Linked DNA regions of Elephas maximus indicus. The protein of the gene in region 1 interacts with the protein of each later gene in a pairwise test. Links are inferred from orthologs where the notes say so. Each region holds a gene or a part of one and is shown on either strand. Other genes may lie near its edges.

Region 1 (3,909 bases):
CAGGCGGGCTCTTTTGGTTTCCATAGATTCATCAGTTCTCTCCTGCCATGGAGGCAAAGGGATTTCAATCAAGTATTTTTGGGAATCTGTTGTGCTATCACCTCTGTAAAAGCGTCTCAATGATGTCATGCTGAGCAAAGGAGATGCTAGGTTGCGTCTTGACAGAGCAAGCACCTGAAACAAAAAAGGGCTACCGTCACTACTATTCACTCAACACTTACCATATTCTAAGTGCATTCCAAACCAAACCTACTGCCATCGAATGGAGTTCAGAGCCCTGGTGGCACTGCGGTTAAGTGCTCAGCTGCAAACCAAAAGGTCTTGGTTCGAACCGACGAGCCGCTAGGAGGGAGAAAGACATGGCAATCTGCTTCTGTAAAAATTTACAGCCTTGGAAACCCCATGGGGCAGTTCTACCCTGTCCTGTAGGTGACTATGAGTTGGAATCCACTGGACCTTAACACGTGTTTTGGTTTTATGGTTTTTTTTTTATTCCAGCCACCTGACTGTGTTAAACACTGAGGATACAGAGATCCAGAGATGACATGGTCCCTGATCCTCTAAAGGCTGTCTAATCCTCCAAAAGCTCCCAATGGACAGATGGGCACAAAACTATCAAGACACGATGTGAAATCATAATAGACATTACAGAAGACTTTAAGTACAGGGAGAAGCAGCGCCCTGAGGCGGTCGGGCTGACTCTGCTTGGGAACTAAATGACATCTGAACTGGGTCTCGCACGATGACCAATCGGTCAAGGATATTATGGGAAAAGCACACGGTGGACTCACGAAAGGGTGGAAGTAACCTCAATCTCCTAAACTGCAGGATCGCTCTTCCCTTGGGTCGGCCCTTGGCCTGGCTAACGGGCTGCTGGGCCCTCCCTGCGGTCGCCGTGACTGCGGAGAAGGACAGGACTCAGCCACCGCTGCCGCCCGCCCGGAGCCCGAGGACCTCCGCTCTTCTCACCCGCGCCAGAGCCGGTAACACGGTGGTCACTGCCATATCTCGCCTAGCCCGCACCGGAAGTCTGCGGCCGGGTTACTTCCGGGAACCCCGGGGCTACCGAACCCGTGGACTCCGGCTCCCGGTCCGAGCCGGAAGACGCGTCCCTGCGTACGACGGAAGTGACGGCGCCGGTGGGGGGGGGGCGGGACCTGAGGCCGAGAGAGGTTCGCGCGCTTCGGGCCTAGTCCGGACTCGCCGACGCCGCCGCCATATTCCCGGTAACGGGGGCGCGCGGCCGGGGGCCGGCTGGGCCGGAAGAGGGGTCGGGGCCGACGCCGAGGCGGGGTGGGGGTCGGTGGAGCCTGCGGAGGCCGGAACCGGCGGCCTGAGGAAGACGCGGGGCTCTGCGGGAGGAGGCCGCGGGCGCCGGGCCGGCTCTGTGGGGAGGCAGTGGGGCGGGCCTAGCCGGAGGGCGAGGACGGGCCCGGGTGGGGAGCCGGAGGCTGGAGGCTGTGCGGATCCGGGCGGCGGCGCCGGGCCCGCTGGGGCCGACCCGGGCCTAGGCAGGTGCAGCGGGCGGGGGCTGCGCGCTTCGCCGCGGCGGTTCTTCGCAGCGCGGTCCAAGGGCCTCTAAGGAGCCGAGGCCTGGACTTCCCGTCCAGCCCCAGGCTGCTGCGGCCCCGGCGCGGCCTAACCCGGCTCGGGTCCGAGGGTGATGAGCGGCTAGCCCCGGCGGCCTGGGCGAGCGGGGGCGGCGCGAGGCCGGGGGCGGGGCGGGTGGGGCCGAGCTCAGGCTGCTGGGATGCTGCGTCTCTGGAGACGGGAGGTTGGCAACCACTGCCCTCCCATCCCGGGACTCTCATGCCTTCTAATTTCTGCCCTTTTCTGGATACCGCAGTGGCATCTTTCTTACTTCCTCCGTTCTCCGGGCTCGAGATCTTCCTGCCGGAGCCATGTCAGAAGGAGTGGACTTGATTGATATATACGCGGACGAAGAGTTCAACCAGGTGAGGGGGTATCAGGAACATTGTGATTGTTCTCATCATTTTAGGAGTCACTTCCAGCAAACTTGCGGAGGTTCGAAGCAGTGGCAGTCCTTGGGGACTTGCTAGGCCTGAATATTCCTCTATCTGGTGTTGGGAAAAAGTTACTAAAAATGAAATCTACTCCCAATCCAGAAAACTTCTCCACAAAAATAGAAGAGAAAGAAAAGTTTGATTGTTGAATAAGTGTTAAACCAGAATGTGATGCCGAGGCATAAAGAAATCTTTTGTGTAGCTGAATGGATATAACTCATTACATTCATGTTTAAAACAAAATTACTGGCTTTATAATATCTCTGCGGCAAGATACCTAAAATTATGCTAATCTCCTTCCAGGAAACTGCGAGGTAGGGGTGTACATTTTCTTGATGAATACATTTCAAAAAGATAGTTCCCAGGTCCTTAAGGAAATATCCTTCGTTCACAAACGTTTCAGAAAAACAAAGATTTTGCCTTTACAAGTTTATTTGAAGTGAATTCTGAAAGAATGGGAGAAGCCTCTTTCCTAATTTTCCACAAGGGGAATTAAAATCTCTTATTTTCAATTTGTATTTTTCCTTACACAGGTCTAAAGTTTTCTCCCTTGTGGAGACCTTCAAGACTACTACTCAGCGCTCTGCTTTATGTTGATCTGAACCTCTAGACTTAACTTTAAAAACTTTGATTTAAGAGCAAATAAAGATCAAGCTTAATTGAATGGTGGATCAACCTGTGGAACATGCTCCCTCAGAAAGCCACAGTTGGCTGTGAATCTTCTCAGAGACTAACCACATTTAAAAATTGGGGTTGTATTGGCTGTAATCTTATGAGGACAATGTTGATATCTGTTTTATTGCAATTTTCTCGAACTGCATCTGGAGAAAAGTGTAGTCTCCAATCCCCCACAGACTGGTGCAAAAGCACAGTATAAAACAGATATTTTAACATTTAATTTCATCTCAGTTCCAGTTGTTCTGCATTTTTCTTCTTTCTACAAGTAGCTTGACCCTGGTCTTGGGAAAACTGTAGGCATTTCGGTGTAACAAATTTTATTGATTAACCTTATCGTTTCAAGGAGGGGAAGGGGGGAAAGCTGTTGAACACACCAGTTAAAAAACAGGTGTAGACTTGCTCATATACCCTAAATTGGTTTCTTGGTTTCAGTGTTTTTATACGGAAGAACATTATGCAAAAGATTTCTCCCTCTTGAAACGATAATCGTATATTCAGTTCAGTTCTGAAATCTTGAGGCCAGATCTCAAGAATGCTCCAAAGTTTGTGTTTAAAACTTAACTACTATATTGCCTGGATTGTTTTCAGCACCATTCTACTTGGGAGAGCTGATTCTTCCCATTGTCGTCTTCCAGTGGGTGCATATAAGAACCTAGAAAGAGATTAAAAGAATGGATTAGAGGAGGCAAGTGCCCTGGTTAGGCCCTGTCTTTGAAGTGAGGCAGCCAAGTTGATATATGCTATTTTTTTCAGTTGGGGCCCTGGTGGCAAGGTGGTTAAGAGCTTAGCTGCTAACTGAAAGATTGGCAGCTTGAATCCACCAGCTACTCTTTCGAAGCCCTGTGGGGCAGTTCTGTTCTGTCCCGTAGGGTCGCTATGAGTTGTAATCAACTTGAGAGCAACAGGTTTGGCTTTTGGTTTTATTTTTTCATTTAATATAAGTTTACATTAAATTTTTTTTTTAATGCATTGTGGTTTTTTAACATGGAGATTCTAAAACATACACAAAAGTCAAGAGAATAGTGTAATCACCTCTGTGCATTACACAACTTTACCCATTATACATTTTTCTATTTTTTTATTGCAAAACTATACATAAAATGTGCCATTTCACCTTTTTTTTACATGTTCGATTCAGTGGCAGTTATTTTCGTGTTGTGCAACCATCACCATTAGCCATCAATTACACTTTTTGATGACAGCTTTC
Region 2 (3,445 bases), on another chromosome or scaffold:
GTCAGGGCTAGAGCCTGGGGGTGCCCTGTAAGAACTGCTTTTACTCCCAGCCGGCCGGGAACCACTGGAGGTTTCTGAGCACGGACTGCTGGGACTTGACTCGGCTCAGTGAAGAGCACACTGCGCAGGGAGCCTAGCCAGCATTTTTCTGCGATAACCCCGGGACTGTTCTACGGGATTAGAGGCTGGCTCCGATCGTCTCAAAGGCAGAGCCGACATGGGCATGAGCGGATAGCGGGTGAGGGTGGGACCCACCTTGCGGGTGATGTTGTGCACGTAAGGGCAGGTATTGCAAGCGAAGCGGTGGCAGCGCTGCCCCTCCTCCACAATCAGCCCGTTTCCGCAGCCCGGGCAGAAAAGCAGCATAGCCGGCGAATCAGCCCGATTCCGCCAGCCCCTGCAGCATCCTGATTCCCGGCAACCTCCGCGTCCGCTGGGCGCCGGCGCTCGCCCGGCCTCGAGCTCTCATTGGCCCAGGCAAGGCACTCCTCAGGCCACCAATAGGCACGCTGGCCTCGCGCTCCCAGCGTGCCCAGCAGCAGACGGTCTTGCACTTCTCATTGGTCAAGGTGGCCCGCCCCGCCCCCAAGCGCACCAATGGCTGTCCAGGCTTGCTCTGCGGTCCACAGTCCTTTTGTGCACGCAATTCGTCTTCCTCTCGCCGACTGGCCGGGGCGAGAGACCCACGGCGGACGCAGCCCTGGAGGGGGCTGAGGCTGAGGCGCGTCCCGAGGCGTCGGAGGTCGACGAGGACGACGACGAGGCGCTCCCGCACTCGGAGGTGGTGGACGTGTTCCAGGAGGGTCTCGCCATGGTGGTGCAGGACCCCCTGCTCTGCGATCTGCCGATCCAGGTGCGCAGCCGGGGTCTTTCCCAGCGAGGCCGGGGCAGGAGCGGCGGGGAGCGGACCCCGAGGTCGTGTGGATATTGCAGCCCCTGAGCTGGAGGAAGCACAGGGCTGGTCCTCGGAGGGCGCATTTTCCTGCCTATTTCTGTTGTTGTTAGGTGCCGTCGAGTCGGTTCCGACTCATAGCGACCCTGTTTCTGTGCCCTTCTTTTACTGGAGCCTCTGTCCACTTTGATCCTTAAACTTGAAAAGTATGGGTGAAATTCGAGATCGGGGTGCTGAAGAACTGCGAGCCCTAATATAAGCAAGGATCCTTTCCTCTACTTGCTTGTCGTAAAATATGGACACCCCTTTTTGGCCTCTGTCAACTTGTTTTGTTCATTGTCATTTGGGATGATGAGAAGAGCACCCCACTTTTGTCTTTTCCAGGTTACTTTGGAAGAGGTCAACTCCCAGATAGCACTGGAGTATGGCCAGGCCATGACTGTCTGTGTGTGCAAGATGGACGGAGAGGTCATGCGTAAGTGATGCCCTCCTCCCTGCCACTGTGCTTTCTCAGGGCTGCCAGAGACATCAAGGCCACCACGAACCTGCCCTGCCCCGAGGTTGGCCTGTGGTACCCACTGACCTGAGGTCTTCTCCCATTTGTATCCCTGGCTGCAGCTGTGGTCGTCGTGCAGAACGCCACAGTCCTGGACCTGAAGAAGGCCATCCAAAGATATGTGCAGCTGCGGCAGGAGCGTGAAGGGGGTATTCAGCACATCAGCTGGTGAGTGGAGCAATTCCCAAGCCAGCATGCACACGTGCTGGACCTGTGCTCTCTGGTCCTCTGCCATGACTGAGGGGTGAGTGCCCTGTCTCGAGCTCTTTCAGGCAGAGACAGGTCTTCCATGGATTCCTGCCACTGCCTCCTTTCTAAACATGCTCATCTGTGTTGTCCCGCCTCCGCTGCTTGACTCTTCACTTGGGGGCACCTTTAGGCATTTCCAGTGTGACATGAAATGGTCTCCCTGGTTACAGACAGCACTGCTCGGTCAGGGCCCACCCCTCCCTCCCTCCCTCCCTCTCTCCCTCCCTCCCTCCCTCTCTCTCTCTCTCTCTCTCTCTCTCCCCTACTCTGCACCAGTGCATTTCTGCCAAGGGTGTTCGACCCCTATGCAGCCCTTTGGGACCAGTGCCCCTTGTAGCTCCTTCAGGCCTGGTGTGCACATCATGCAGGAAGAGAACTCCTTGTTTCCTGAGTCTCCCTCTTGCAGGTCCTACGTGTGGAGGACCTATTATCTGACCTTTGTGGGAGAAAAGCTCACAGAAGACAGGAAGAAGCTCCGAGAGTAAGTCCTGGCCACATCTTGAGCTGCTGAGGGGTGTCTGGTCCTTGTCTGCCTCTAGTCCCTGTACTCTCGTAAAGGAAGGGGCTTCCCAAAAACACCTATGTGCCGGATCTCAGCCATCCCCACTAAAAGGGCAGGCAGAGGAGTTGGCTACAGCAGTCCTGGCTGGCTCTCACCACTGTGAGAACATCAGGGTCCTGTGGATGTGCACAGGTCAGATGGAGGGAAATGTAAGCATGTAGAGGGGAAGGGCCACCCACTGAACAGCATGAGCCGCTTCCTCGCTCTGCCTCCTTCTCCCTGGCACCACCCCCTCTTCTCCCCTTTCTTTCCCTTCTTTTTCACAGGCCCCAGGTAGGAGTCACTGGTGTATCTTTCTGCCCATCAGACACATCCGACCTTTCTTTCTCTTTCAGTTACGGCATCCGGAATCGGGATGAGGTCTCCTTTATCAAAAAGCTGAGACAAAAGTGAGCCTCCAGCAAGGACAGAGGTGTGGGGGACAAACTCTTCTCCTCAGGACATTACCCTTGGCCACTGTCTCCTTCACAGAAAGGCAGGTTGCAGCCTCACCCCAGTTGTGCTCTGCCTCCTCCTTCCTCCCCCATCTGGAACCAACAATGTGAGCTCCATGACTGTCAGGTCCTCATTTCTCTTCCATTTACTTGATCTGAAGCCCTCCTGAGGCCCAAACCTGACTACATGTGGATCCCACAGGACAGCCTCATATACAAAATAAATGTTTGCTTTTTAGTTTGAAAGTCAAAAAGCCAGAGTACCCCCGCCAGGAGGTACAAATGCTGCCCCATAGGGAGGTGGAGAAAGGGAGCAGGGTTGGAACACATGGGCCCTGAGGTCCAGGGTGACCACCTGTGCCCTGTGGCTGCATGGTTCCCCAGATGGCAAACTGCTCATGCCGTGATCTGTACAGCAAGGGGGACAAGCAGAGCAGCTGTCTTTGTTTCTGTTTGTGGGACCAGGGTAGAATGTGTGTAACACAGATATGGGCTGGACCAGAGGCCCCTTGGGGCTCACTGGGTGAAAAGGAGGGAGCATGGGACTGAAACTACAGCTGTTGGCTGGACCAAGCATGGGGGCTCTCCAGCAGGGCTGAGGGCAAGGGCATCATTGGGGCACCCCACCCCACCATCACCTACCAGTCACCAAAGGAAGGGCACCGTGCATCCACCCGGCTGAAGGACCTCCCTCCACAGCCACACGATCGGATCCCAGAAGGAGGAGGCAGCTAGGATTAAGGTAACGGCAG

What was found.
Region 2: the proteins of CPSF7 (region 1) and SNRNP25 interact in binary tests that used the Homo sapiens proteins (3 or more experiments, as listed by UniProt). The two-hybrid records come from large-scale screens. The link is inferred for Elephas maximus indicus from reciprocal best matches to the Homo sapiens genes CPSF7 and SNRNP25.

The regions. Positions count from the first base shown.
Region 1 is NC_064825.1:124,495,998-124,499,906, reverse strand, and holds the start of CPSF7 (cleavage and polyadenylation specificity factor subunit 7), read left to right. Parts: upstream 1-1,157; 5' UTR 1,158-1,200; coding exon of another isoform or gene 1,201-1,385; exon of another isoform or gene 1,386-1,445; coding exon of another isoform or gene 1,446-1,811; intron 1,812-1,846; 5' UTR 1,847-1,901; coding exon 1,902-1,955; intron 1,956-2,296; exon of another isoform or gene 2,297-3,286; coding exon of another isoform or gene 3,287-3,354; intron 3,355-3,909. Other genes in the region: SDHAF2 (succinate dehydrogenase assembly factor 2, mitochondrial), read right to left, coding at 1-174, 970-1,005; proline-rich protein HaeIII subfamily 1-like, read right to left, coding at 1,013-1,157, 1,201-1,385, 1,446-1,811; TMEM216 (transmembrane protein 216), read right to left, coding at 3,287-3,354.
Region 2 is NC_064830.1:57,376,411-57,379,855, forward strand, and holds SNRNP25 (U11/U12 small nuclear ribonucleoprotein 25 kDa protein), read left to right. Parts: upstream 1-769; 5' UTR 770-811; coding exon 812-853; intron 854-1,276; coding exon 1,277-1,367; intron 1,368-1,510; coding exon 1,511-1,616; intron 1,617-1,623; exon of another isoform or gene 1,624-1,716; coding exon of another isoform or gene 1,717-1,857; intron 1,858-2,103; coding exon 2,104-2,178; intron 2,179-2,594; coding exon 2,595-2,652; 3' UTR 2,653-2,686; downstream 2,687-3,445. Other genes in the region: POLR3K (DNA-directed RNA polymerase III subunit RPC10), read right to left, coding at 256-366; RHBDF1 (inactive rhomboid protein 1), read right to left, coding at 1,717-1,857.